Diceros bicornis minor: one gene and its partners. The protein of the gene in region 4 interacts with the protein of the main gene of each other region in a pairwise test. Links are inferred from orthologs where the notes say so. Each region holds a gene or a part of one and is shown on either strand. Other genes may lie near its edges. The genes, in order: C7H11orf87, GSE1, VENTX and RBPMS.

Region 1 (7,002 bases), on a different chromosome or scaffold from region 4:
TGGGTTTGTCATATATGGCCTTTATTGTGTTGAGGTACTTTCCTTCTATACTATAGGGAGAATGTAGTACAGCCTGGCACATAGTAGGTATTTTGCAAATAATAATAATAATAGCACTTATTATTTTATTTATTTATTTATACTTATTTATACATTTATTATTATTTTTGTTGTTATTATTTTTTTATTATTGTTATTGATTCAGTGCCCCTTTGGTTTGATGTACCAGGTGCCCATGTGGCACTTCTCTCTAAGATAGATGGAGATCTCTCATTAAACTGGAGAGCAAGTATTATATGTTGCTGAATATTTGGAAAGTGCCTGAGTCCAGAGGGGCTTTCCCATCACCAGGGAAGTATCTGGGAATCTCAGAAGCTTTTTGGTCCTCCACTCTTGGGAGTGTGGCTTAAGAAGTTTAGTGGCAAAAACAGTGGCCACCTCTTGTCTGGAAGAAGCCTTGCCATTGTGCCAGATGTGCCAAAATCATATAGCAACTCAGTGGGATCAATTTCTGCAGCCCAAGAGGCAGGTATATGTATTTAGCATATATGTATTTAGCACATTCATTCTCTGAGTAAGAACAAATTATGAACCTATAGCCTATTCTTCTTTAAAGGGAAAGGGAAAAAAAGCTGGGCTTTTGACCTGAGAATTGATGTCTTTAATCTACCTAAATCATTTCCAGTTAAATACTGTTGTCTTCTGGATCACATTTATCTGCTGAAGATTGTTAAGTTCTCCAGGGCAAGACATTGTCTTTTCAGAGGTTGTGTAAAATGGTGCAGACACTTTTAGCACTCCTGGTATAACGGATGGTTATCATTTATAACAACAGAGTAAGAACAATGACAGCCTCATCACATGTCCTAGAAGCTTGGTGTGCAAGAGGAATCCCATTATATTCATATTGTAAGCCCATTACAACATATTATAAAGGTATTTATGTTCCTCACTGGGAAAACCTGATAACTCATTCCTCCAAGTCTAGAAAACTGATAGACCAGTGAGAGTTAATTCTAATTACGTAAAGATTCTTTGCTTTACAAGACAGTTTTTCTAAAGAGTCTCTTTAAATAGCCAGATCCCTTTTTGGAGTATTCAAAATTAGATTTGCTTTCCAAAATGTTGATTAGACTCAACTTTTCAGGAGGAAAGAAATGGTGCAAAAATGGGACATTACATGTCAGGTGTCAATGGTGAAGTGTCACTTAGTGATTACAGAGAAAACAAGGCTCGCCATCCCATCGCCTGAGCCCATCAAAGTCAGGATGTCCAAATGTGGCAGGTGGCTTTTACAGGGCATCAGGTGCCCTCATTCCAGGCAGGAAAGCTAAGCCAGCATTGAGGTCATTGGCCATCACTAATTGTGTGACTCTGGGGCCAAGGGCATCAATCCATGCTCTGAAGTAATCACGCATTATTCAGCGTGTACTGAACTATTCGCTTAAATATGGATACTTTTTTTTTGAGGCAATTATGAAGAAAAAGCTGATGACTTTTATTCAAATAAATGAAAACAGAATTTGGGGGAGAAATGATGTATTTCTTTCTCCATATATAAGTCATGGGCAAGGAGAGGAAAAGGAGAAGTTGGAGAGGACTAGATAGGAACTGAGGGTCAGAAGAAGGGACTCTCAGATTACAGACAAACAACTTTTTGCTCTCCATGTCAAACCCTCTTTCTTTACAAAACCCTCTGCTTGCAAATACAAGCAGATAGGTGGGTATCAGACATTCCTGCTACCTGATGCAGCAGGGAAAAGCAGCAACGTATGCTGTATCACTCAATTTAACAAGTAAATATTGTACAGGCACTGTGTTAGACTCAAAGATTGGATGAAAACATGACAAGGAGGAGAAAAGGAAATGCACATTTAATTAGACACCTGAGTGCCTTCAAAGACCATACAGTGTTTTTAGGTGCTGTTTCAAACTGGCTTCTCCAGTAGAAAAATGAGAATACTTCATTTTGAAGCTGGCTACTGTAACCAAATGCACCATTCATATTTTCCCAAGGGTTCTAAACTAATAGTTGATTAGTCTCTGCCCAGATTTAGGCAGGCTGATGAGAATCTTTTAGGAAGTTCTATCCATTATGCTGAAAGGCTATGGTTAATACTACAGCAAAGGCACCAAGCGCTTTAACAAGCATTAGGGCCAATGAAGGGGTACTTTGTAAGAGCACAATGCTCAGAATTTTCACAGGGCAGTTCATTTCTGTGCTGCTCTGAGTGATTTTCATCTTTATCCCTTGTAAGCCTTGTGTGTGCTTTGTGTGTTCATGAGCGTCTAGGTAGTCAGAATAGAAGTGTTAATTCCTTGAGCGGGTTCATGAGCGTGTGAGGGGAGAGAGGAGGATCACGAGTCAGGTGGAGTGAAAGGTAAGTTGGAGACTCTGGTGGAGGGGGAAACAGTTAATTTGGATTGTTTGATGTTAAATACATGTTCAGATTTGTATTTCAGGTTCTTCCACTCTTGCATTCAGAAATGCCCCTCTCATCTCTCTTAAGTACGCAGTTTCTGTTCAGAACCAGGTCAGCATAGACAAGACTGGGGAGGGGATGATCCTCATCAGCAGAAGGAGAAAATTCTAGTGTGTGCCCTGAGGGCAGATGGATCTCTAGAGTGTAAAAACGTGTTCCTGGGACCATGTGGGAAAGGGTTGAAGGTGAGGAATTGGGCAGCCAAAGAACTAAAGCTTCAGCCCTCCTTCCTAAGCATAGGAGGGCAGAAGGTGGGTTGCTCACAGGGTGGGGGTGAGGATTGCTCTTCATAGCCCCTGGGCAGGGAACTGGGAACGTAGCAGAGGCTCGCTCTGCCAGGACGAAGTGTTGGGGTATGAGGGTGAGGTGGGGGCCTGAGGGGTGGCTTGGAGCCCTGGCGGTGGCTGTCTGACGTCACCGGCCTCTCTGGCAATAGGCTGCGAGCTGAGCTCCCCAAAGCGGCAGCGGCGGCGGCGGCGGCGGCAGCAGCAGCACGGCTTGGTCTCTGGCCCCTTCACTCCGCGCCTTCTGCAGCCGCCACTGCAGCCGCGCGGCGGGGGCTCCCTCCCTGCAGCCAGCTGGCGGCCCCAGGTAAGGGACGCCGTTCGGCTAAAGGCTCTGGGCGGCTGGGTGGCCGGGCGCGAGTGGGTAGGACAGCCTCGGCGGCCTGCGCAGGCACCCCTGGCCGTAGCTTCGGCCCCCGCCCCTGCCCCGGCCCGGGCTTGCGCGCCGCCTCGCTGCTCCGCAGTGCAACAGTTTGCAGCTGCCTCTCGAGAGCGGCGAGGGGGCTCTGCTGCGCCCTGCGTGTCTACCTGCACTGGTCCCCGGGAAGAGCCTAAGGGCCCTCGGGCTGGGTCTGGGCAGGCCGGAGAGAAGATCCGTTCCCCAAACTTTGCAGGCAGGAACCCTCCCCCTTCCATTTCCAGCTCCCGTAGAAAGAAGCAGGATACTGTCAAGTGGGAAGCACAGCGAGATGGAGAAAAGGGGGCATTTGCGGGGATGTGCTTTAGCTGAGAAAGGTGCTTCAGTTGCTTTTTTTGGTGGAGGGGCGGTACAAGAGAAGGCTGGAGAAAGGATGGAGCGCGATCCTGCGCGTCAGCCGGGGCCGCGGGCAGAGGTGGAGTGGGATATGGTGCCAGCGGTACCCTCACGGAAATGGGACCTAAGAGGTCTGACGCCGTCCGGGAAGGGAGAGTCGGGAGGGAAAGGGAAGAGAAGCGAGGACTGCGAGCCCGCTCGGGGGCAGGGTGTGGGTGCTGGGTAGGGTGGGATCCAGGCGAAGGCGTCCATTGAGAGGGCGCAGGAAAGAGAGTCGGTGCTCTGGGAAGCAGAGACCGCGTTCTGAGGCGGCTACGTGGTTGTTGCAATTAGAAAGTTGTGGAGGGCGCAGGGAGGCTGCTCTATCTGCTGAGTAATCCGCATTTCTGCGGTGCCGGCGCAGACCCCTTCCCTGCGAGTGGCGGGAGCCCGAAGCTGGTGCGCGGCCAGGGGCGGGCGGGCTGGGGTCCGCGGGCTGCGAAGACCGGCAGCGCCCAGCTGAGGCGGTGTGCCCAGAGGGCCGCTTTGCAGTGCCGGCTGATCCTTCTGGTCCTCCGCACGCCCCTGGGCAGCGGCCGAGATCCTAATTAAGCCTGTTCTCTTTGCAGCCTGGTGCCTTGGCAAAGGAAAAGGGCGCGCCGACACGCGTTCGAGGCGGGGCCGGAGAGGATCTCCTGGGCACCGCTCGCTCCTTGGCCGGCTTGCTTGCCCGCAGTTGCTCCCTCAGTCCTTCGCTCGCGCGCATCCCCTCCCACACCAGAGAGTAGTTTTGGGTGGCGTGGGCTCTGTCCTCTTCTTGGCTGGTGGGAACGGTGTGCCCAAAAGAGGAAGTCTGGTGGGCCCGGCCCCTCCCAGCCCAGCGCCGATGAGTGCCAGGGCGCCCAAGGAGCTGAGGCTGGCCCTGCCGCCGTGTCTCCTCAACCGGACCTTTGCTTCCCTCAACGCCAGCGGCAGCGGCAACGCGAGTGCCCGTAGCCCCGGCGCAGGCGGCGGCGGCGGCACCTGCATCACGCAGGTGGGACAGCAGCTCTTCCAGTCCTTCTCCTCCACGCTGGTGCTGATTGTCCTGGTCACCCTCATCTTCTGCCTCATCGTGCTGTCACTCTCCACCTTCCACATCCACAAGCGTCGGATGAAGAAGCGGAAGATGCAGAGGGCTCAGGAGGAATACGAGCGAGATCACTGCAGCGGCAACCGCGGCGGCAGGGGGCTGCCTCCGGCGGGCAGCCAGGCCCCAACCCACGCAAAAGAAACCCGTCTGGAGAGGCAGCCCCAGGACTCTGCCTTCTGCGCTCCCTCCAACTCCTCCTCCTCCTTCTCTTCATCCCCTGGCCTCCCATGCCAGGGTCCCTGTGCTCCTGCGCCTCCACCACCGGCCCCCAGTCCGCAAGGAGCACACGAAGCCTCCTCCTGTTTGGACACAGCTGGCGAGGGCCTTTTGCAAACGGTGGTACTGTCCTGATTGTCTAGCCCCTCACCCTTCCCCTTCCTCGTTTCCAGCATCTTTGCCGTCCTCGCTTCCCCCCCGCCCCCGTCCTTCCTCTTCCACTTTCCTCTGCCCTCTCTTTCCTCTTCCTTCTTTCCTTAACTACCCTCCCCTTACTCTGTTTCTCCTCCGCCGAGGCACTGTGCGGTATTTGTAAATATTGGGCGAGGAAAGTCTCGGAAGAAGAAATAACGCTGATAACAGTACTTTATTATTAATATTTATAGTAATTATTATTATGCTAATAACACAATCCAAGCGCATGACAAATCACATAATTTCTCATTGTCAATGAAGGATTCGTCTTCCCTCTCCACCCTGCGCCCCCCACAATAAGGAGGAGAAACAGCACAAACTACCAAATATATAAAAGGCATTGACCCCCGGAGCAAAGGGAGTGGAGGGGGCCCAGTGTGTTGTACATAGCTGTCAAGTTAAGGTTCAGTTACCTTCGTTCCCCTCCACCCTCCAAGCTTTCACTTTTCCTTCAGCTTACCTCCCTTCCCCATTCCCAACCTCAGCCAGGCTCAGACAATAGTATATTATAAAGAAAACGTCTACATGAAGCGCCAGAACTACAAGAGGCCACAGAGACAGTCCCAGAAAAACGTTTATGACAGGTACCACCCTCCAGTCAGCCCTCTTCTCACCCCTTGGTTAACCAGTCCCTTTTTCAGGACCAGGCATTTTAATTTACTTTTAGAAATGTCCCTCGCTGGCCGAGCATAAGTATATTAAAAATCTTTAAATGAATTTTTTTTTTTTTAAACAATCTACTGCTTTAACTTCCTGCCCCGCCCCGACCTGTATGCATTTTCAGGATTCAGAAAGGATCGGGGAGCTGTCCAGCCAGATCTGGTGCTGAAATTGCCTCCCGAACTGGTTACTTTCTTTGGTTGTGCAGGCGGAGGAGGGGCTGTTTTGGAAAGTGACTATTCTGGCTTTTTGTTGGTTTCTTTCTTCTTTTCCTACAATCGGGTTTGCGTGTACTATTGGTTTTCTTATTATTAAACATTGCATAAGTTACCCTTTTTTGTAAAAAAAAAAAAAGTATTAGGTGATGTGCAGTACTGAAAGTGCAGTATCTAACCAACCAGAATGTTTCTGTTTAATTTTTAGAACAAGTGCACCTTGTTATATATTTACTATATTGGTACCAAATACAGAAGCAAACTATAGTTCTGTACTACATCCTCCAAACTGTATATTCTTGTTCTTAATTTCCAGCTGTTGATATAATGGTTACCACTGGATGTGGAATTCAGTGGTGCAGGCCTGGCTTCTGCTGTTTCCAGAAGTGTTCTTTTGTACCTTACTCTGTAGTAGACTGTTATAAAAAGATGACACATGTTTTCTTTTTTCTTTTGCGAATAACAGAAACAACCACAATAGAAAACAAACAAATAATGGATGTGCAGGAATGCCATCTATTAAAACATGGTTAATATTTAAACAGTGCCTGTAGTCCTCCCTGCATGCAATTACCACCTGGAGGCAGTGGTGTGTGTGCTTGCTTGTACTGTATGCGTTTGGGATGAGACTGGTGGGGATGTTGGGCAATGTGGATGACAGGACATGCAAATTTCAAGAGAAGTTAAATGCAGTGACTACTTGTAGGACAAAAATGTTTGCAGCTTGTTTAGTTAGAAATCTGAGATGCAGCAAAGGAAAGACTCTCTTTCTCTTTCTGAGTCTGGCTTGCCTAACTTCACTGAATACATGAAGAAAGATTGATAAAAGAGAAAGTTAGAGAAGAAGATCAATAATTTTCTTCTCTCTTCTAATGCCACACAAGGCCATCTATGTTAGAAATGGAGTCCACCTGTGGTTATTTACCACTTTGTTTCCCTTGGATTGATGATAAAGGGGCCAGAGCATATTATAATCTTAATTATATGCAGTGGCATCCTTTCTTAGGAACCAATTCTTTGACAGCTGTTCAAACGTTTGGAAAATGTATGAATAAGAATGTTCTTAACAAAGCTCACCCAAAAG
Region 2 (7,485 bases), on a different chromosome or scaffold from region 4:
GGGGGGTGATGTGTTCGTCCATGTAAAAGGAGAGGCCGTCCCACCAAAGCCCCCACAACAGCCTAAAGTCCAAAGAGGACGTGGGCAGAGAAGGAGCCCGGGTAGCGCGTGGAGGTGAGGGCTGGACACGAGGGGAGGCGGGCAAATCGTGGCAGGGTCCACTTTACAGGCACAACCACTGTGAGCGAACACGCAGCCCGGGAATCCCCACACACGTGCACACGCATGTACACACGGGAGGCGGCACCAGGGAGCTTTCAAACGGATGGAACGACCATTCCCGAACAGGCCGGAGACACCCTTCCCCATTCGCCGTCCCTCTGCCGGCCCCTCACCAGCGGCTACCACTCCGGGTATCTGTTAAAACAAGTCGGTCTAACCGGCTTTGGGGGATCACAACGCACGGACGTTTACTTCCCCACACCCACCGGGGGGAAGTTCCTGCTTTGGCCTTGGCAAATCTGGATCCAAAATTAACCGAGCCGGGTCTGGCTCCTCCCTGGCAGGCGGCCTGCAGGCAGGCGCCTTACAAAGAGGGCGAACCCAGGCCCCCCTGCCCTCCTCCGGCACAGCTGACTTGCAGAGAAGAAAGACATTTCCCACCGGGGGAAAAGTCTGTTCGGGCCACTATCCCCCGGGGCCCAAACCCCCACGTCTGGAAATCTGTTTCCATCTGCTGTTAAGCAACCACAGCGTCTCAAAGGAAAAGTGTGAACTTGGGTGGAAAACTCTGGAAAAGCTAAGCCACGCAGGAGCTAGAGTAGAGAGGAACTTCCACCTCAAACCGGGTAAGTGCCGAGACCTCTCCGTGACCTGTGTGGCTGGACTAATTACCAATGTTATCAGGCGGATGACAGACATGCCCCGAACTTCCTCCGTTTGACAGATTCTGCTGCAAACACCCTCAAGTTCAGGCCCATGCCTACTGCTCACAGGACCGCCCTATTCTTCCACAAGACCGCTCCTGGCCCCCCAACTCCTCAGAGCTGGCACATGCCTCCAAGTTCAGCCAGGCCAACATACCCACCAAGTGCCAGACCAGGGGGGGCACCTCCTGCTGGAACGCACGGCTCAGAATCAGTGCAAACTCCTCCCCAGCAGAGGAACAGAAAACAACGTCTCTTCCTTCCCTGTGCAGATTTCAGAGCAGGAGATGAGAACTGCTGCTTACCTTCATAGCCGCTGCCACTGGGGAGCTCCAGCCCATGGGTCCCTGGCGGGTAAGTCCTTGGCCAGCACACACCAGGGTCCCGCACTCCACGCAGGCGCCAATGATCAGCTGCCGCCCGTCGTCCACCAGCAGGCTGTGGCTGGCTCGCAGGGTGTAGAGAAACAAGGGTAGCCGGGCAACCCGCACGGCCTTCAGCCCAAGACATCGCTTCTTCTCCTGCTGGCAGAAGAAGCACACAAACGTCTCCACCTGGTACTGCCGAGACCAGGCGCTGATGGTGTGGTGGGCACCGCGGGCCTCGTGCTGCAGCCACTGGCCCAGCAGGTCGTGGTAGCAGAGCACACAGGTGGACACCAGGCCGGTGGAGTCGGCAGGCCTAGCGCGCGGGGCGGGCGGGTAAACAGTGAGGAAGGGGAAGAAGGGCTCCTTCTCGCCCAAGCGGCTGGAGGGGTTCACGTTGAGCTGGAACTCCCTCCCGGGGCCCAGCTCAGCCCCGCAGATGTAGCAGACGGACGCCGGGCCGCCCTGGACCGACGCGGGTGGCTCGGAGACGGCAGGGTCCCAGGCGGAGAAGGCCTGGTGGTACCGGCCCAGGAAGCCTTGCACCGAGGTAATGAGCTCCTCGTTCTGGCAGGCCCGGTACAGGGCCCAGACATCCTCCAGGACGCTGAAGCACTTGGGGCAGCTGCGCACCTCGCAGCGCTTGTTGGGGCCCCGGGCGTTGGGGGGGCAGGGCAGGAGGCTGAGGAAGGGGAAATGCATGGAGCCCCTGGCGTTGCCGTTGAGGATCCTGGAGGCCACTGCCCGGGCATCCTGGGTACAGTCCTCCCCGCAGAGGTAGCAGGCCTCTGGCAGGGCCCCAGCCGGCAGGCCCTCTTCCCTCGGGAGCCTCCTGCCCTTGGAGGCCATGCCGGGGGCGTGGCTGTTCAGGGGCACCACGTACAGTCGCTGCAGGACAGGCACGCGGGCCAGCTCGAAGCTCTGCCACTGCTGCATGAGGGAGGAGAAGCAGCATGAGCACACCAGGGTGCTGCCACCCTCGCTGATGGGCTGCGCCCCGGGGGGCGGGCTGTGCAGCCACAGGAAGGGGAAGAAGGGGGCCTGGGCCAGCCTCTCCTGCTTCTGCACGTGGATCTGGTGCTGCGAGGCTGGGGACAGCGTCGACCCGCAGATGTAGCAGCAAAGGCCCTCTGGTGGTGCAGGCCGGCCCTCCAGGGGAGCCCGGGGGACGCGGCCACCACCGTTCTCCGTCTCTTTGGGGCCGCAGGAGCCCGGGAGAGGCTGCTCCCTGCCGTCCTCTTCCTCGCTCGTGACGTTGATGTCACTGTCATCAGACACGCAGCAGCCTCCTCGGGGCTCCCCCAGGGGCCTGCCCTCGGGAGTCTTGGCGGCCCTGCCCGACGGGGCTCCTTTCATGCTATCTGCAGGGGCCACCCGGACTGGAGGGTCTTGCCAAGGGTCCTGGATGCCCCTCAGGACGCTGGCTCGGGCCTCAGGGACCCAGTGCCTCCCAGCGCCCTTCCGCCGGCGCCGAATGCCGGTCTTGGGCTCCCCGTCCACGTGTAGCTTCGAGGGGACCCCCTCCTCCTCCGCGTCCCCCTGCGCGGGGGTCTCCGCGCCCTGTCCCGGAGGGGGTACCGGCGCCGGCCTCCACTCCTGGCAGCGGCCCCCGAGAGGCCCCGGCCCCGGGGTGGCCCGCGCCGCCGGCGCCCCGCCCTGGTGGGGACTGGCGGCGTCACGCGCGGTCGGGTCGGGCTCCGAGAGGGGGTCGGTGTCCGATAGCTCGGACAGCTCGGAGTCTCGAGTCTCCTCGGCGGCCGCGCGGGGCCCGGGGACGCCGCCACCGTCGTCGTCGTCGCCGGCCGCGCCGCCCAGCGCGTAGGCGACGTTCCACTCGCGGGGGGCCCCTGCGCCCCCGCGGCGCCCGCCCGCGCCCGCGTCGCACTGGTGGGGCCGCTTGAGCCAGTACATGCGCTTGTCCACGGGCGTGCGGGCGCGCTCGAAGGCCGCCCACTGCTCGCCCAGGAAGCAGCGGCACACGGCGCACACCAGCACGCAGCCGTCGGCCGGGGACAGCTCGCGCGCGCCGGGCGCCGGCTCCTGCTGCTGCAGGAACGGGAAGAAGGGCTGCGCCGGGGCCCCTGCGCCCGCCGCCGCCGCCGCCGGCTGCTTCACCTGCAGCTTCAGCTCCTTGCCGCGCCCGATGCCGCCGCCGCAGATGAAGCAGGAGAGCGGCGCGCCGCCGCCGCCCGCCGCCCGCTCGCCCACGGCTGCCATGAGCCGCTGCTTGCGGGAGACCAGCGCCGGCCGCCCGCTCATGGCCGCGCCGCGCCGCCCGCGCGCCCCGGGCCGCCCTCACCGCCCGCCCGCGCCGCCGCCGCCGCCGCCGCGCCCAACTTGGAGCATGTGTGCGCGCCGCAAAGTTTGGCGGCGGCCGGCCGGCGCGGGCGCGGGCGCACGGTCGCTAGCAGGGGCGCCCCCCCGGCCTGCCGAGCCCCCGGCGGCGCCGCGGCGAGCGCGCCCGGAACGCAGCGGCGGCGGCGGGCCCCGGGCGGCTGGAGCGGCGGCCGCATGTGCGAGCTCCGGCGCCTGCCAAAGCGTTGGGTCATTTAATTGGGGAGGAGGGAGGCGGGGCGCGGGCGGCGCGCGGGAGGAGGGGGAGGAGACGGGGCGGGAGGCGGGAGCACGCGGGCGGGGGAATCCCTCCCTCGCGCGCCCTGCTCGCCGCCCGCCCTCCTCCTCCTCCCCCCCTCCTCCTCCCCCCCTCCTCCTCCCCCCTCCTCCTTCCCCCCTCCTCCTCCCCCCCTCCTCCTCCCCCCTCCCCCCGCGTCCCAAACTGCGCACAATGGCTCGCCGGCTCTTCTATCTATTTTGTGTCCAGCCGGGAGCCGCGCTCGATGATTCATTGCCCCAATTAGGGCCTCTCTCCAGCGCGGCCGGCTCGAGCCGTCTGAAGGGTCTCCTCGGGGACCCGCGGAACCCATCAGCGGCTAGAGCTGCTCTTTAAGTAAAGGGCAAGCAGGACGCGGGAGGAGCCAGGTAAGGACGTGGCCGGCGCCCCCCGGAGACAGAGGAGCCGGCGAGGAGCTCTCCGAGGGGCGGCCTCGGTCCAGGAGTAGGCAGGCACCCTGTCGATTTCGGTCGAGTTGCTCCGGCCCCCTCCCCCTTCTAAAGGGGGGACCGAATGAGGAGCAGTTGCAGCCCTGAGCTGCCTTGGGTTGGGGGCACTTTTCAGGGTCCAGTGGTCTGATTTTGGAGACAGAGGGAAGAGGAGCTGTCCCCCGTCTCCTGGAACACATTGGTGAATGCACCATCCGGGGGGGCAGAGGCCTCAGCCTCCACACCCCTCCTGGCTGCTGGCAGAGACGGAAGGGATCCTGTGTGTGCCAGGCTCTGTGTTCCAGGGCAAGTGACTCGACGACTCTGGGCCCTTTCCTCCTCTTGTTAAACAGGAGTTCTGGCAGGAGATTAACAGTTTCCACATATTTATTGTTTATGTGTATACATACGCTGTATTTATTGAACACAGAGAGAGACCTTAGCATGTGCCAGGTGCTATTCTAAGCACTTTATATATACTCGGGGTTAAGCGCTGTGATCAGCCCATTTCACAGATGAGGAAGAGGAGGTGCTGAGGGTTGTTACTTTTCGAGAGTGGAGGAGCTAGGATTCAGACCCAGGCAGCCAGCTCTAGGCGCCTGCTCTCAACCCCCTGGCTGTGCAGCCTCACTACGCAAACATCTGGCCCCCGTCACTCCATCTGCCCATGGAGACTCTCCAGGGCAGGGGACATGGCCAGGATCCCTCCGTCCTTCCTGCTGCTCTGGCTCAGGCTGGGAGGCCTTGGGGGAATCCAGGCATCTCTGGGCCTCACATTTCCCATCTGTGAAATGCCACCCCTCCCAGCTTCAAACTTCTATGAGTCTGTGATTTCTGAGCAGTTGACAGCTGTCCCGACTTGCCAGCTGGAGCCCAGAGTCAGCCTGGGGACAAAGGTGCCAGGTGGGCCCCTCTACCCTCTGGGGCATTGATGTATAAATAAAACTAGGCTTCCTCTGGCCCGGAGGAGGGCCGTCATTATAAATAAACGGAACAAGAGAAAGGGGCCACCTCTCTGGAACCCCTGGTGGAATTCCAGGGGTCACAGTCCAGGGGTTAACAGCAAAGTCATCACCATCATCACCAGAAACTCGGGGACTGCGGGCCCTCACCCAGGCCCAGAAAAAAGCTGTGTCAGCAAAACTATCTGGAAGGAATGTTGGGGGCAGGGCGAGGGGGTTTCCCTGCTTCTGGCATTTTTAATACCTGGTGAGAGAGGGGCTGATTAGGGAGCCTTTACAGGGTGAGGTCTGGGTAACTGTGTCCAGCAGAGCTATCAAGCCCACACAGACCACGAGGCGGCTGCTAACGTGAAGCCGGCTCAGGAAATGCAGGGCGGCCTTGGGGTTGCGTGGGGCTCCCTTGAGGCTTGGCACATGCCGTTCCTTCTGCTTCACGTGCCTTTCCAGGCTCTCTTTGTGAAGCCAACTCTGGCTCATCTTTATGGTCTTGGCTACAATGTCTTCCCCCAGAGGATTCCCTGCCTTCTCCATCTCAAGCAGGTTCTCCTTGTTATTCTCTGTCTCTGTTCATTGGCATAGGAATTTGTCATTGCTTTTATTTATTTTTCTGTCGACTGTTCCCTGTCTGCCTCCCCAGGAGCCTGGGTGCTCCCTCCCCCTGGGCAGGACCCAGGTCTATCTTGCTCACTGTGTGTATCCAGGGCCTGGCTTAGTCCCTGGGTCCCACACTGCTGGGTCCCAGTGCTGTGCCGTCCCTCTCTAGCTGTGGGCGCCTTGGGCAAACCTCTTAGTTCCCTGAGCTTCAGGTTCCTGCTCTGTACAATGGGGTCATGGTCCTCATCGGATTTGTTTGTGTGCATCAAATGAGGCAGAGAGAGGGCGATGCTCTGGGCACAGGGCCTGGCACGCTGGAGGTGACAGTGTGTGTGTGTGTGTGTGTGTGTGTGTGTGTGTGTGTAGACCCTGCCTGGCTCTGTCCAGTGGCTGAGGAGGTTCTGCTATGCCTGTCTGCACTGCGAGTGGAGGCGGGCACTGTGATGAGGTCCCACCAGAGTCTAAAGGAGGAGAGCCACAGCGGTCGACAGGACAAAAGGGGGGAGTGGAGTTCTCTTGCTTAAGCTGGGGTCATCCTTGAGGATTCCCTGAGTATGTGCCACGTGTGTGGAGGTGTGTGTGTGCATGTGTGGGTGTGTGTAGATATTCGTGTTTGTGTGTGCATGTGTGTATGCATCTGTTACCGTGTACGTGTGTGTGCGTGTGCCGGTTGTGTACCTGTGTGCATGCATTCATGTGCACATGTGTACATGTGTTCACGTGTGTGCATATAAAGTGGGCTGGGACCCGGGGGAGAGAGGCTTCCAGCTGGATGTTTTGTTTCCCTCAATGACCCGGTGACTCAGGAAAGTCCCCTGGCACACTTCTCGGGAGCCAGGAAGCAGGTGAGCACCGACCAGAGGAGGAGGAAGACAGGGGAAGATGGTTGGTTATCTGTGGGTGGATGACATAGGAATGGGGCCGCTGGTGCAGATTCACATCACAGTTCTGCCAGTTACTAGCTGTGTGGCCTTGGCCTGCTATTTAACCTCTCTGAGCCTCAGTTTCCCATCTGTAAAACAGGACTCACAAAACCCCATAGAGCTGGGGAGGATGAACTGAGACGACCCAGGTGAAGCACACCCTCTGGACACAGAAATGACAGCAGTGTTTGTGCACGTCGGCTGAATGTTAGTTGCACACAGGAACCTGTGCCTTATAGACTCAAACTTGCTGAATCTTTGCAACAAGCCTGTGAGGTAGGTTCTGTTATATCCCCAGTTGACAGATGAGGAGACAGAGGCACAGAGAAGGGAAGTAAAGGCCCAAGGTCGTGCAGCTTGGTAAAGCAGGGGCTGGAGCCAGGCGGTGTGTCTCTGTCACTCCCTGGCTTTGTTAGCTGTTAAGATTAGCTTTGCCCTAAGTCCTGAGATGCCAGCTTGTTAGGGCAGGAATGGCTACAGTCTCGTCCTCCCTCTCCTCACATGTGTCCCCAATTTCACACCTATGGAATCTGAGACCCTGACAGGTTCATGTCTGGACATAAAACAGGCCAAGAATGTGCCACAAGATGAGAAGAGATGTCAAGGCTCATTTGTGTTAACTTCATGTTGGAGCCACAGGCTCCCGACCCCAGAAGAGCCATCTCCTAGCTTCCCTCTGAGCCCCACGGCCCTCCCTGCAGCTAGAGAGAGGGCGCCAGGCTCCCCCCAGACCACG
Region 3 (7,250 bases), on a different chromosome or scaffold from region 4:
GCCCGTCTTCCTCTGCTTTATATGGGATGCCGCCACAGCTTGGCTTGACAAGCAGTGCAGCGGTGCGCGCCCGGGATCCGAACCTGCGAACCCCGGGCCACCACAGCAGAGCACAGGCACTTAACCACTGCACCACCGGGCCGGCCCCCCTACTTTCTAAACTAGGAGATGAGGGGGCCGACCCCGTGGCTTAGCGGTTAGGTGCGCGCGCTCTGCTGCTGGCGGCCTGGGTTCGGATCCCGGGCGCGCACGGACGCACCGCTTCTCCGGCCATGCTGAGGTGGCGTCCCACGTACAGCAGCTGGAAGAATGTGCAGCTATGACATACAACAATCTACTGGGGCTTTGGAGGGAAAAAATAAATAAATAAAATCTTTAAAAAAAAAATAAACTAGGAGATGAGGAATGGCAGTAAGCAACCCCCCAACACTCCCCCCGAGGGGGTGAAGGAAGACAGGATGGTGAAGATCGTCTACTCGGTCACTATGCAACTCATCTGACAAAAAGGCCAATCAGCTGCTTCGGGGAAACCAAATTTTACAAAATTAGTTTTAAACACTTAACTAGAAGCGTCCAGTGGACGAGAGGAGCAAAGGCTTGCTTGGAGGGGTGGGGGTTGGAGGGCGTAACCAGTCAGCATCAAGGATTTTGATGCAGGATGATTGGCTAGCCTTTTGGGGGCAGTACTGGTTGTAAAGAATAAATTTAAAATTTCACCTCATCGAAGTATAAAATTATTCTGTAAGGATTACTTAAACTTTTTTAAAAATGAAAACTTATGTATAACAAGAACCCCATTTTTGACCACGTTGGACTTTAAACCTAAAAGTGATGATTACGTCACAGAGACAAAACTGAGGATTCTCGGCAGTGAACAAAAGGTCAGACAGAGCTGAGGAGCCACCAGACCTCCCGGGAGCCGAGCACGCAGAAGGCACCAAAATTCACACATGCGGAAATGCAAAGGGCGGCGTCACTAGGTCGTGGCTCCCCGTGAACTAACGCGGCAGGATTCCAACTCAAGTCTAGGTGCCAAACTAAGGGGCCCGGCTTTTCGGGTGGGGCCACAAGGAGCCCTCTGGACTGGGCAGGTTTCATAAGCTTTATGACACACTTATCCACAACCCTGTGACTCATGGTGGAAATGGGTCCCGAAGACTTTTACAGAATCTGAAATCCACGTGCACAAAGGCACTAACGTCAGCGTTATGGCTCACAGTGAGGACGTGGGGGGTGGCGACTGGTGGGCCCAGGCCTGGGCAAGAGGGCAGGGGGCTGGCCCCTGTAGGAGGTGGGTGGGAAAGAGGAGCCCCAAGGGGCTTGAGGAGGGAAACCCCCCATTGTGGCTTTTGCTTCCAAGGGGAAGCGTTCACTTGCCAGAGAGGTCAGGAAACCCCAAACCCCAGCCCTAGTGAGAATGCCCCCAACCTCCTGAACCCTCCCCAACTCCCATCCTCATCTGGGGAGGAAGGGACCTCCCCCCATCTCCAGACCTACCAGCTGTGGGCGTCCCTGGCGCAGACAATTCTGAGGACTTCACCTCCCCCATGCCCACGGTCTGAGGGGGCTCCCCATTGCCGGACACCCTGGCTGGGGCAGAGAAGCTCTCCCAAGAGACCTCAGCGGGCCTGGAGGTGTGCGACTGCTCTGCATGGCTGCTCTGAGATAGCCAGGCCACAGAGCCAAAGCTGGAGGCTGGCTTGCGGCCACAAGGCAGGGCGGGGAAGGGAGGCATGGCTGGACGTGGTGCTCTGCTCAGGATCCTGGGGATAGATGGTGGTGGGCCCAGGTACAGGGTCCTCTGCAGGGCGGACGGTGGGGGCTGGGCGCAGCGTCAGCAGAGAGTTGGTCAGGTGGCCTGGGCTGAGCACAGGGTCGCCTCAGTTTGGCAGGGCCGGGCTACATTTATAAGCTCAGGAGAAGGAGGGTTGGGAGGCAGGTCTGCATAGATGGCTCAAATCCCCCCCCAGATAAGTAGCACCTAATTGCCTTCAATTCAGAGGCACAAAGGAGGCCATTCGCACCTCCCCCGGCTCCAAGATGTCTGGGGAGGGGCGGGGCTTCGGTCAGCGTTAGGGGAGATTGGGGGAGGTTGGGAACTCGTTACATCCTTTCATCTCCCCCACCCCCACCCGGCTGGCCCAGGCTGCAGGAAGGTGAGGACGGCCCCTCCCACCCCAGCACCCTCCCTGGGGGCTTGTCCTATGGGGTGCCAGGTCATCTTCTCGCTCCAGGTTGGTCCTCCAACCTGCCTCGTGTGTCTGCAGTGCCCGCGGTGAGGGAGAGTTCGCTACAAGTGGGGCGTCAGCATCGCTGCTCGCAGGACACAGTGGGCCCGGCCAGGGCGGGTGTCTGCTGCGTCCAGGCTGTCCAGCTGGGTAGGAATGTAGGGCAGGCATTCCTGGAAGGAGACTGCACAAGCCAGACAGGGCGGGGAGGGGCTGTGCAGAGAAGGACCCTCCGCTCTGCAGGCCCTTCTCTCTCACCATCCACCGCCCCCGCCCAGCCCCTCTGCTGGGTTTCACTCGGTGCCCCAGGAGCTACCTCCAGATTGGGGTGACACGAAGGGGGGTGTGCTCGCTCAGGGCGTGAACTCAGCTGCAGCCACGCGACATCACTCTTCCCACGCCCCAGCTGCCCCCATTGGGGCTGGGCAACTGCAGAGCCCCCGGGGGACGGTGGAGCCCAAAACTTAAGGAGGGTGTCCTCGAGACGGTCACCCTGTCCCCGCGGCCGCTTCACTCCTGAACTTCACCCCTGAACTGGCCTCGTCCGCGTCCGTCGGGAGGCGCAGGCAGCCAGGTGCGCCACGCCGTCCGCCCCAAGCCACGGCCGGCGGTGCCTCCCCCGGGCCTCCCCACAACCTTCGCGGGAGAGCGTCAGTCTCCTGCACGCGACCCGGCAGACGGACACGTGCTGCGGAAACCCACCCCGGCGGGCCCTGGGCGCCCCTTGGGGCGCGGGCTGGGGGGAGTCCAGGCTACGGCCCCGGCGGCTGGAGTCGGGTGCAGCGCTAGTCCGGACCCGAGCGCGCGGCTGGGCTTCAGTGCAAACGGATCGAGTCAGCAGCCTCGACCCCCGGGGACGCCGGCGCCAGGCTGGGAGGGGCAAGGACGACCGCCCGCGCCCACGCGGCCCGGCGGAGATCAAAGGCCTGGCGGCCTCGCCCAGGATTAGCACCCAGACCCCGCCTCCTGAGCCTCTCGGGCAGGGGAGGGGCCGGTGATGATGTGGGAGCCGGACCCCCGCGGGCACAGCGGGGAACCAGGCGGCGCTGACCGCCCGTGCGTGTGAAGGGCCACAACGCCGCTGACCTGGGCCTTCCTCCCGCCCCTGCACCAGCCCAGTTAGATCACCGGACCCCGCAGGGGGAGGCTGGGATCTGAATCACTGGCCTAGTGTCCGGTGAGGTGTCTTGTACGAGAACTGCAGGGTGTCCTGGAGGTGGACAGTGAGGTCCCCTCGGGTGCGCGTGGCTCCAGGGCTTCCTCCAAGGACGCCCTGGGGCAGGCTGCTAGCACCACTGCGACAGGGGCCGTCCAGCTAGCTGGGGACAGAGGCCGAGCTGGTGCAGGCCTGCGCAGAGCTCCTCCGGGACAAACGGGGGTGGGAGGGTACCTCACAAACCGGGCAGAGGGAAGTAGCCCCCCCATGGCTGCTCAGTACGCACAGAACAGGCCGGAGAGGCCTCCTCCGGACAAAGGAGCATTTGTTGGAAATTACTGCATTGTGCACTCAGCAGCGTTAATTCGTGAAATGTCAGCCATTCAGGTTCTGGTCTTTGGAAAGTCTGCTTTAGCGTCTCTTCACCTCTGATTTTTCCCGCCGGGTCCCCTGGCCTCTTGGCTCCACACCCGCACGTTCCTCAGCACCCTCCTCAGCTCTGCCCAGCCATCTGCTCCGTAATCAGGGACCCTCCTCTAACGTCCTCCGGCCTCCACTTTCCCAGCTTCCTTGCCTACACCCTCCCCTACCTGAGTCCCACTCCAGAGTCCAAGGTGACCCCACCTCAGCAGGTCAAGTAGCCTCTCCCTCCTGTGTCCTCCCCTCCAGCTCTGGCTGCTGCCTGGTGTGATCCCCTCCTCCCAGCGGCCCCTCGGTCATTCCCTTCAGCACTGCCACGGGCTCAGGCCCCTCTCCCCTCACCCGGCCGGCCGTGTCCACTGGGGTCTCCCCACCCCTCCCTCCTGCACTGTGGGCCCCTCTGTCTCCGCCGGCTGCTCGGGCCAATGTCACCCGTGCCTAGCCTCAGCTTCCTCACTTGGCCTCGGAGCAGCGTCTAGGGCTCCCCGGGCCTGCTCCTCCCCTGGCTCTGGGACCCGCGCCCCCGGGTTCGCTGCCCCTCCACCGTCCCTCCACCGCCTTCCCCGAGACCCGGGGATTACACGCGGGCGTGGCCTTGGCGCTCGGCCGCTGGCTCTACGTCGCGGCACCTGCGCGCCGGGGGGGCCGCCTCCCACCTGTACCCGGGCGGCACGGGCGTGGTGGGGGTGGCGGTGAGTGGGTGCCCCCACTCCTCGGGCGTTCTGGCTGCCCCGCCCCCACGTAGTCCGGAGCCAGGCTCCCCACCTCGCTCCCCCTCCCGCCGCGGCCTCGCCTCGTCCCGGCCATCTCCACGGCCACCCCAAGACCCCCTCTCCACGCCCGCCCCACTGGGAGGTGGAGGCTGGTCTGGTCCCCCCTCGCTCGAGCCCTGGAGCCTCCGGGGCCTCCGACGCGATCGGGGAACCGAAACCACGGCCAGGGGCCGCCTCGCCTCCCTCCCCCCTCCCCTCCACGCCCCTCCCCCACTCCGGCCCCGCCCCTCCCCTCCACGTCCTTCCCCCAGCCCGACCCTGTCCCCTCCCCGTAGCCACGCCCCCTGCCCGCCTCTCGTCCTTCTGGCCCCCAGAGGTTGCAGCAGGGCAGGCAGGGTGGACAGACAGGGGCAGGTGGGCGATGACCCACCCCAAAGCCCCAGCGCCCACCCACCCCACAGGGAAGGCGGGGCTCTGGAGGACAAACCTGAAAAGCCCCCCAGCTCGGGGCTCTGCAAAACGGTGGGAAGCGGGATCCAGGATCCAAGCGGGTGAAGATCCAGGGCAGAAGGTCCCGGAGGGAGGGAGTGGGCACAGGCTGTGGGCGTCCGCTCGGCCAGCGCTGGCTCCTCACCTGCGTGGGCGTTCCCCGAGAACACGCCCCCCGCGAAAGGAAGAAGAGCGTGGATGATGGACACACAAGGGCGTTAGGGACCAGCCAGCGGTCTGCAAAACACCTGGTTAAAGACAGAACAGTGGAATCCGTGATTTTAAAAAAGGGTGGGACAGAGGGATGAAGACCCAGGTGGTCCCGTACGATGGTGGCTGACAGTGACGTCAGGCCTGAATCACCCCCACTGCTGACACATCAGGGCCCACATGCCCCTCCCGGACACACGGACCACACCTGTGGTCATTTGGCAGCATGTCAGGGAGCCGTGGCCCACCCTGGAACCCTGACCACCCTCACGTCTGGTCCTCGTAGCCACTGCTCTGTGTCCCACACACAGAGACAGTGGGCTCGGCAGGCGCGGGTCCAGTGTGGCCTCTGCACTCACACCCTGTCTGCGCTCCCTGCCCTCATCTCCGTCGCTCTGCTCAGTGGCATGGCTGGCACCTGGGAACCGGTATCCTGAGAGGCTGTCCTAGCTCCAGGGTGACCTCCCGCCAGCTCGACCCCGCTGACCTGCTTCTCCCGCGGCGGGTGCCTGGCTCCTCTGTCCTCCGCAGCAGAGGCCTCTGGCTGGAGGCTCTGGGTTGCTCTGGAGTGCAGCCCTGCCCCTGCGCAGTCCACGCAGAGCAGACAGATCAAAGCCACCACCTGGCGGCCAGGCCCTGTGGCCTTGTAGCTGCACCCCAAAGAGACAGGGTGCAGGCAGGGCTCTGAAGGGCTCGTGTGGACGGGCTGAGAGTTACATGGGGTGCCCTTCTGCTGCGCTTCTTAAGTTGCCAGTAAGTCCCCCTGGTCACTGCAGAGGAAACTTCTGCTGGAGGGCCTCAGGCTCCAGGCTTTAGACGGGGGAAAGGAAGGGGACTCAGCAATGGAATTAAATGCAAATGTAAAGGCAAGATTCTGAAGATAGGAACCTGAAACCAACGGCACCTAACACTGAAATAAAGTAGAATTTATGTAAGGGCTGGATGTAGAACTCCAGGCACGCGTGGAGGTTTAAATTAATTTAGATTAAAAAATTCAGTTCCGAGGGCCGGCCCCATGGCTTAGTGGTTAAGTGCGCGCGCTCTGCTGCTGGCGGCCCGGGTTCGGATCCCGGGCGTGCACTGATGCACCGCTTCTCCGGCCACGCTGAGGCCGCGTCCCACATACAGCAACTAGAAGGACGTGCAGCTATGACATACAACTATCTACTGGGGCTTTGGGGGAAAAAATAAATAAATAAATAAAATTATTAAAAAAAAAAAATTCAGTTCCTCATTCGCACCGGCCATGTTTCAAGAGCTCAGTGACCACATGTGGCTGGTGGCTGTAGTATTGGACAGTACAGTTCTAGAACATTCCCATCCTTCCAGAGAGTTCTACTGCACAGTGCTGCTCCAGACATACAGGATGTGCTGCTGCTATTAGAAACAGCAAAGAACCAAGACAAGTCAGAGAAAACAGAAGCAGCAGTGGTACTTCCTTATAAATATGATGAGGACAATGACCCCTGGGGTCTTCAGGAAGGGACCCCCTTCTGGGAGATTCTGGTGACAAAGATGACAGGCATTGTGGATGGCAGCAGCCATGGGGACTAAAGAGATCTGTGATGACGGCAAAGCAGGACAGGCTCACCCCCAGATCTGCAAGTGTGTCCAGCATGCGTCACACCAGGGTCAGGGAGCAGACAGAGTGAGCGAGAATCAACACAGCGCCCTAAAGGCTCAGGTCGCTGGCCCTGGGGAAGCAGAGTTGCCAGGAACAGGAGGCTGGCATAGAGGTGCCCTGAGAAGCAAGGCCGGTGACAGGGCATGGGGCACAGGACCTTCCAGTCTGTACAAAGGCAGGCCTCCGGGACCCTGACAAACATGGAAAACATCTGGCAGAAGACACAGCCAGGAAATACAGGCCAGGTTAATCCTGTCCCCATGAAACGGTCAGGATGAAGACCTACTGCTCCCTCGCTCAGGGATCTGACGTTTCTTAGAGTCCAGAGGGCCCTTGAAGGAACAGAGCAGAACCAAGGGCTCAGAAGATAGGGAGGCATGAAGGGCCCCCTGGGTGTCCTGAGGGGAAAG
Region 4 (7,812 bases):
TTAGAAAAAAGAGGTTAGGAGTTTTTCAAAAACAAAACATAAATCCCAAACAGGGAATTAGGACAAAATTACCTGGATCGGTCAGGCCAACGTACTTTCTTTTCCTGAATTTTTAACACTATAAATCCTCTCTCTTCACGGTTTATCTGTTTTGTACACTCCACCTCTTCTACAACTTACATTCTGAAATCTGTCCTCTTATTTTTAAAATAACAAGTGTCTTGCTAAAACTACTGATACTTCCTAGAGCCACACGCCATTCCCACCTGAAAAGGAACACTGTCAGGGCAACAGGGCAGGGAAGAGGCAGTGAACTGTCCTGAGATGGCCAGTGATTCTACTCGTACACAACCTCCCACATTAAGTTAAGGTCCCAGGAACAGAGCAGACAACACCTCCGACCTGGCAGCAGTCAGGCTGAGCTGAGTCAAGCAGAAAAAGATGACTTTTCTCCACTTACTTTTATCAAGTTAACTAAGTTATGGTTTTGGGACACTCAAACCTCTTTTACTACCTATCAAAAGAAAAAAAAAAGTCTTTGGTTTGCCTAATTAACTTTTCCATTTACAAGCTTTCTCAGTTGGGAGAACTGAGAAAAAAGATGATTTCATGCAATATATTCTTACCCTTAGAAAGAAAAATTGCCATTCTAAGTGAAATAGAAAGGTTTCTGAAGCAATTATTATCTTGGTGTGTTAAATAAATTTGTTAAATATAGCAACTCCTTAAAAAAGCAAACTTGTCATCATTTTTTAAGTTTTATTTCAGTGGTAGGGAAAATAAATAGCAAAGCAACCAGTAAGGTTCAAGAAAAAAGTGGAACTTGCAATTCAAGTGTCCATCTCTTTGAAAAACAAAAAAATGTCAGTGGTATTCCTTCACTTGTAGTTAAAAAACCATTCGCATGTAAACAACACTTTTCAAAATAATAGTTTATAATAAAATGGGCAATTTCTTCAGGTGAAAAGGCAATTTTCTGTTTACTGCAATTCACCTAGGTTGCACTACCACAAAACTGTGTTAAGAGGAAAATCTTGTTATTTATTTTGCATTGTTTTGCATAGTCTTTGCTCTCTCCTCTATCTTCCCCATTTACATAGTTCCCATTTTACAAGTGGACAACATGCTGAGAGCTTATATGCATTAATTAAATCCTCTGCAAGGTTTGCTTTCGCTATCTGAATATTAGTTTGCACACAATATCTCAATAATAATCTCAACATCCTAACAGCTTCAGAATCAGTTTATCATTCTGTTAACCTTATACACGAGGATGCAGTACCTGTAAGAATGCTTTATAGGTCACATCTGGATGCATACTTTCTTGCATCCACACACTCTCAAGTTTCTTTTAGAATGTTTAAGAACTCAGCTAGTGTGGAATCTTAAAAAGTGGGCGAAAAGTATTGTTTCTTGGACTCCATATAACGTACCTGCAGGAACAGAGCCATTTAATAGGATACCACAAAATATCCTAACTACAAAATCCTGAAACGTTTGTTCAGGAGTTCTCCCCTACATTTACTGAATTTTGTTTTTCTACCAAAGGAACAATCCACAGCCGCAACATTTTTACCGCAATTACGGACGCACCACATTAAATTTACGCTCAGAAGTCAAAGTCCTATTAAATAGTCTCGATGATCATTTGTAAGGGGTAACTGTAAGTTTTAAACTTTTATTCTGCTCCCCACAACCGCATCGCCCCTAAATTTACAAAACCTAAATTACCCAGGTTCGGGGTCTTTGACTCATCAGAGAAGAATGCGGCTGATTAGTTATCTATTAATCCAAAATGCCTCAACTGGAAAGACATTTCACCAAGAACTTTTAACACCGAAAGGGAGGGGGCAGGGAAGAAAAGGTGTCTCTTAACGAGAACTTTCCCCTAGTTTCTTCCTTAAACTACACAAACACCAACGCACCCCACGACTTCCAGCCCTAGACGCAGAACTAAGTCCTGACCCTCCGGGTCCCAATAATCTGAGGTCACCCAGGAGTCAGCTCTCGATTCCGCTTTTAAAATTCCAGGCAAACAAAGCTGAGCGTTCTACTTACAAAACTCTCCGAAAAGTCTTCCAAGTTACGCAATTTTAGGCACGCAGACGCGCGTGGACCCACAAAAACACCCTCCCCGGAGATACACCCTCCGGGGCCACAGTTTAGGGCTCTGTCTCGGGGCAAGGACCTGCCCAGACCCTCGGCTGCGGCGCCCCCTCCCCGGCGCGCAGCCGGGCGCCCCGGGACCGGCTCTCCCGCCGGCCCCCGCACTCTGGAGAAAGCCCGCGGCTTCCGTCCCCGGTCGTCCCCGCCACCGCACCGAGCCACTCAGTACCTCTTCCTCCTGAAGGTTGGCCTCGTTCGGGGTGTTCTCCTTCTCGGCTTTGCCGCCGTTGTTCATCTTCCCGGTCCTTCCTCGCCGGGCAGGGCTGGGGCGCGGGGCTGGGCGAGGCGCGCTCGCCCACTTTTCCCTCCCCGGGCGCCGGGGCTCCCTCGGCGGGCGCCGCGGGCTACGGGGGCTGCAGCCGGGGCAGCGGCGGCTCGGGCTCGGGCTCCCGCGGCGCGGCGAGACGGCGGCGGCGGCGGCGGGCGACTCAGGAAGTGCGAGGGAGAGAGACGGGGCAGGGCGAGGCGGGCGCGGGCGGACCGAGAAGGGGACGGAGACAATCGGGACCCGGGAGGGAGACCTGGAGAGGGAGGGCGGGCGCGAGGGAAGGAAGGAAGCAGGAAAGGATGGGGCGAGGACGCGCGTCCCGGGACTGAGCCCGGAGAGTTGGGGATGTGGCCGAGTAGGGGCCGGGGGCGGCTGCTGCCCGAGCGTAGCTGGAGGGAGGGGGCGAGGGGTGCCGGGAGAGGAGGAGGAGGCGGAGGAGGAGGAGGAGGTGCGGGGCAGCGGGGCGCGGGCCGCGGCTGGGACGCTGGGACCCGGAGAGCCGCTGAGTGCGCGCTCCTGGCAGGCTCTGGGAAGTACGGGATCCAAGCAGCTCCCTTTCTCTCGCCTTCCTCCCTCCCCTCTCTCCTCCCTCTCCTCCTCCTCCTCCCTCCGCCCTCCCTGGACGTGGGCTGCAGGCTCTCGCCGAGGGACGGGACGCGGGACGGCGAAGCCCCCCGCGGGAGGAGGGGCCGCGCCGAGGGCGGCTGCCCCGCGGCCGGATGGCGCGCGCCGGGGAGGGGCGGCGGGCCGCGGGCGGAAGCCGCCGACCCTGGCCCCGGACTCGGCGGTAGGTCGGAGGGCGGGGGCCGGGCAGGGGGAGGGAAGGAGGTCAGGTCCTCCGGCTCGCTGGGCCCCTGGGGGCCGAGTTGGACAACTCGCGTGGCGGTGCGCGCGAGCCGGGAGAGGGGCTTCGGAGAGCCGGGCCCCGCCAGCGCGACCACCGGGACGTGTGATGTGCTACTTTTGTTTGCCTGCTTTTCACGAGGGATTTGCACCCCCATCCCTAAGCCTACCTCTCCTTTTCTGTACCGCTTTAGACCCATTTCTTCCCTTCCTAGTGGGCAACTTGAAATGACAGGATGGCGAGAACTCGGTGACGTCCGGGGGCAGCCAGCTCCGGGCCGGCGTTTTCAGGGCACAGCATCAAACCCACCTCGAACGCCGGGTCCTCCGAAACCTCTCCAGCCTCCCCACCGGCCGGCTGTGGCTCTCCGCTAGGCTTCCCGTGGCGCCCGTTCAGACTCCTCTCACAGCCCGTATCAAACTGTTCTGGAGTTATTTGTTGACCTGGCTGTCTTCCTCACTTTTCTGGGAGATCCTTCCTGGAAGACAAGACCGTGCCCTGTTTATCTTTTTAATCCCACGGCTTTTTAAATACGCTACCTGGTATATAGTAGGCACTCAATAAATATCTGTTGGGTAAGGGAATATTCGTCACTGCAAGCCGAACTGGAGGCCAATACAGGTGATCTTCAGAGGGTCAAAGCATCTTAGAGGAGAAGGGGGTCTCAGCTGACCTCTGGGAGGTCAGCGCACAACACTCGTTTATGCACCAACCTCGGAAGGAGTGCATGGTTTCCGTTTCCTCACCTGTGGAATGGGAGTAGTTCTATTTATCTCCAGGGGTTTGCTATTAGAGGAGATTATAGGTTGATAGCGCTATAGCACCTAGCACCCATTCTTGCCCAGTTTAAGGTTACAATACTTGGAGGCTAACATTTTTATTAAGGAAATTTTCCTGAGCCGTAGAGAGCTTTTCCAGGACTGTATCATTTAAGCTTTCCAATATGACTGGTACAAACATAAATTTGAAACTCTGTACATCAGTAGGTTCTTCCTCACTTCCCACTCGTAGGAATTCTGTCACAGCATGCTGTTCCTTTCCCGCACAGCACCAGTCACAATTTCTATTTATTTATTTGCTTGCTTCACTATTTGTCTCTTCCCCCCCTCCCCCCACTAGACATTCTTTACCCTATACTGGTTTAAGTGCTGCTGGAAATGGGGTGGGGGTGGAGGTGGGCATTGAAGATAAGGCCCCTGCTTTTAGGGAGTTTAAAGTGGTGTGGAGACAGGATACCCAAAACAGCTCCAGGGCAACATAATCGCAGATCCTGGCTCAAATTGTGGAAAGCAAAGAAAATATTTGCTTTAAGAGCATTGTGAAGAGAAAATCAGTTAGTGATATGTAGATTTACATGTTGAGTTTTTCAGGGGGGGGGTCTGAAGATTTTGATAAAGAGCTTTAATTGCTGTCATGATGTCATTTCTTTCTATGGGAAAAAAAAAAAAAGATGTATCCTGGATGAAAATAAACCAAGAGTCTATTGAAATTGCGATTGAAGTTCAGAAGAGGTGAGGGCTACAATTAATCCGGAAACTTGGACAACCCTTTCCACTGCCAGGTCCTCCCTCAGTTATATGAGGAACCACGAGGGGGCAATGTCTTCTTGAGCAGTGGCTGAGTGGTGGTCTTGGGCCCCTACACTGACCAGTAATGCCAGCACTTTGCCCTCCTTGGCCATTCTTGCCTGTTCCTGAAGACACTCCACAGAAAGGCATTGTCTTGCTGGAGCCTGGCCAAGGCCCAAGAAAAGTGACAATTGATCTAGTCATTGATGGTTCCAGTCAGACTCCACTCATGAGTAGGTGGGAGATGTTGTGTGATTCCAGGGTAGCGAGAGAACCTCCCCTACCCCCACCCAGGGAAATGTGGCTTAATCCCAAAGGTAGGACCTGATTCCTTTGTCTTTAAGCCAAGCTGGCACTGTGTCCTTGTTAAAAGTCAAAAACCCCTGGGATAAAAAATGAGAATAAATTCCATGAGAGGATCCTTGTCTAGTTTGTTCATTGTGTTCCCAACATCTAGACAGTGCCTAATGCACAGTTGGCACTCGATAATTGTGAGTGAATGAATCCACTGAGTCTTATCAGTTATTTATTCTTGGGCTTGAATGACATTATCAGATCCTTCCAAGACCCTGCAGGAGGGACTGAATTAGTAGAGGCATCTTAGTGTGGAGAGCCACCACAGGGGCACTAGGCAGATTCATGGTAGTGGTCTTTAGTCATTATTTTGCAGGGGGGAGACCCTAGATAGAGAGCTTGCACAGAATGGGGCTACATCAGGTAGCTGATGATAAAGCAGGGAAACCTAGAACATATAGTCAGTGGCAAGCTTGAAATTCAGGGTGTTTTCAGAAAAGTGTATGGGGCTGGGGTAATACACCAGGAAAAGAAGGACTCCTATTTTGTCCTTTCCATGAAGAATGGTTTAGACTTATTTGGAAGAACAATAAAGTCATGTTGCCAACAAAACTCAATGAAAATCTGTACATAGACTTTAGCTATTTATAAAACTTTGTGAGTGAGGGGAAAGAGTTTGACTGTGTTGGGGGTGGGGGGAGTGTACATTCATTCAGGTTGTAATGATCTTTATGACCTGTTTACTACTTCAGAGAAAGAAAGTTTCAAAAGTGAGATCTCAGTAGCAATCGTTTTCAGGCCTACTAAGAGTTATAAAACAACAAAGGGATTTTATGTCCTAGAAAAATAGGGCTAATGACCAAGAAATCTGCTTCCTCCCCTGCCCACCATTTTGCCACATTGCTTCTGGCTTATCAGGTTACATGCTAGGTTGAAAGGGAAATATTGTCTGCACGTGTAGTTTTCCTTATTCATCTCTGTTCCTCTGGCAGTGTTCATTTTGAGGCTTGCTTTGAGAAATACAAACCTACAATTATGTCTTAAATGTTTGTCTCTGGGAAGTGCAGGCATTAAAGGTCTATTCTGAGGCAATTTGCATGGCTTGTGCTCTGTACCTATGTTAGCACTGAGGCAGAAAGCTGCAGTATCTACCACGTGTTGTGATTGTTAACTCTTCTACATCCTCTGCTGGACCGAAAAAGTTCTTGAGGCCAGAGGCTGTGTTTTATTAGTCTTTGTTATCCTTAGCACTTCTCACTCCCTCACCCCACTCCCACCCACCTCCAGGCCATCACCATCTTCTCCTGATTTTATTTATTAATTTTTAACTGTGGCTAAAAAACACACAACATAGTATTTACCGTCTTAACCACTTTTAAGTGTGCAGTGCAGTAGTGTGAAGTATATTCACATTGTTATGCAACGTCCTCCTGATTTTTACCTCCTAAATAGTTCTGAGATTCAATCACTTCCCTCCAATCATTTGTGGAAGCCCACACAGCCACATGGAGAGGCCCATGTGGAAGAGAATTAAGTCCCCGGCTTACGGCCCCAGCTGAGCTCTCAGTGGACAGCCGGTACCAATTGCCAGCCTTGTGAATGAGTTTTCTTGGAAGTGGATACCCGAGCTCTAGTTGAGCTGCCCTAGCTGACACCACATGGAAGAGAGATGAGCTGTCTTCACTGAGTGGCGCCCAAATGGCAAAATTGTTAGCATAAAAGTGAATGCTGTTGTTTTAAGGCACTCAGTTTTAGGGTGGTGTGTTATACAGCCATAGATAACTGAAACATAATTACGTGCCAAGAAGTGTGGTCCTGCTGTCACAGAAACCTAAAACATATGGCAGTGGCTTTGGGATCAGGTAGAGGATGGAAACTGGAGGAACTTTGAGGAGTCTGTGAATGAAGAGCATTATGAAAGGACAGTGCGAGTGTTGTTATTGCAGGCTGGAGAAAACGGGACCCCATTTATGTATTGGAAGAACAATGAGCTAAACTAGCCTGCTGTTCCATGAAAGATAGAAAAGATGCCTAATGAACATGCGCATCTGGCTAAGGAGATTTTTGGATACAATGTTGAAAGAGTTGAGTGGTTTCTTTTAGATGCTTATGGTATAGTACGAGACAAGTGAGATGAGCTAAAAAAAAAAAAAAATGAACTGTTCTGTTTTCAATCAGAATTTAGAGGAAACATAAAGAAGCCAGGACTTGCTGGATTTGAAATAAAACTATTGCTCATTTCTAGCTTCTCCAGAGGAAAAACTCTCAAATTAAGAAATGGCTTAGGGGCAAGGGTCAAATCCAGGATGCCTTAGGCCTGGATGCCTAAATATGGCCTTAGGTAAAGTTCAAGGCAAGGGTGTAGCTAGAAAACCCTGTGGTAGGCAGCCTCTACGATGGCCTTCATGATTCCTACCTCCTGGTATTCAAGCCTTTGTATAATCCCCTCCCCTTGAATGTAGGATAGACCTAGTGACTTGCTTATAATGAATAGAGCATAGCAAAAGTGATGGATATCACTTCTGAGATTAGATTACAAAGCGACAGGGGCTCCCATTTTAGACACCCTCTCTTGCTCTCTCACTTGCTGCCTTTGGTGGAAGCCAGCTGCTGTGATGTGAGCTGCCCTATGGAGAGGCCCATGTGGCAAGGAAAGGTAGAGGCCTCCATCC

What was found.
Region 1: the proteins of RBPMS (region 4) and C7H11orf87 interact in binary tests that used the Homo sapiens proteins (3 or more experiments, as listed by UniProt). The two-hybrid records come from large-scale screens. The link is inferred for Diceros bicornis minor from reciprocal best matches to the Homo sapiens genes RBPMS and C11orf87.
Region 2: the proteins of RBPMS (region 4) and GSE1 interact in binary tests that used the Homo sapiens proteins (3 or more experiments, as listed by UniProt). The link is inferred for Diceros bicornis minor from reciprocal best matches to the Homo sapiens genes RBPMS and GSE1.
Region 3: the proteins of RBPMS (region 4) and VENTX interact in binary tests that used the Homo sapiens proteins (3 or more experiments, as listed by UniProt). The two-hybrid records come from large-scale screens. The link is inferred for Diceros bicornis minor from reciprocal best matches to the Homo sapiens genes RBPMS and VENTX.

What each region holds. Positions count from the first base shown.
Region 1 is NC_080746.1:26,507,309-26,514,310, reverse strand, and holds the start of C7H11orf87 (uncharacterized protein C11orf87 homolog), read left to right. Parts: upstream 1-4,149; 5' UTR 4,150-4,386; coding exon 4,387-4,983; 3' UTR 4,984-7,002.
Region 2 is NC_080771.1:34,077,127-34,084,611, reverse strand, and holds the start of GSE1 (genetic suppressor element 1), read right to left. Parts: upstream 3,013-7,485; 5' UTR 2,588-3,012; coding exon 1,172-2,587; intron 1-1,171.
Region 3 is NC_080745.1:95,295,334-95,302,583, reverse strand, and holds the start of VENTX (homeobox protein VENTX), read right to left. Parts: upstream 3,010-7,250; 5' UTR 2,545-3,009; exon of another isoform or gene 2,413-2,544; 5' UTR 1,736-2,412; coding exon 1,498-1,735; intron 1-1,497. UniProt on the Homo sapiens protein: May be involved in ventralization.
Region 4 is NC_080768.1:28,063,267-28,071,078, reverse strand, and holds the start of RBPMS (RNA-binding protein with multiple splicing), read right to left. Parts: upstream 3,019-7,812; 5' UTR 2,402-3,018; coding exon 2,336-2,401; intron 1-2,335.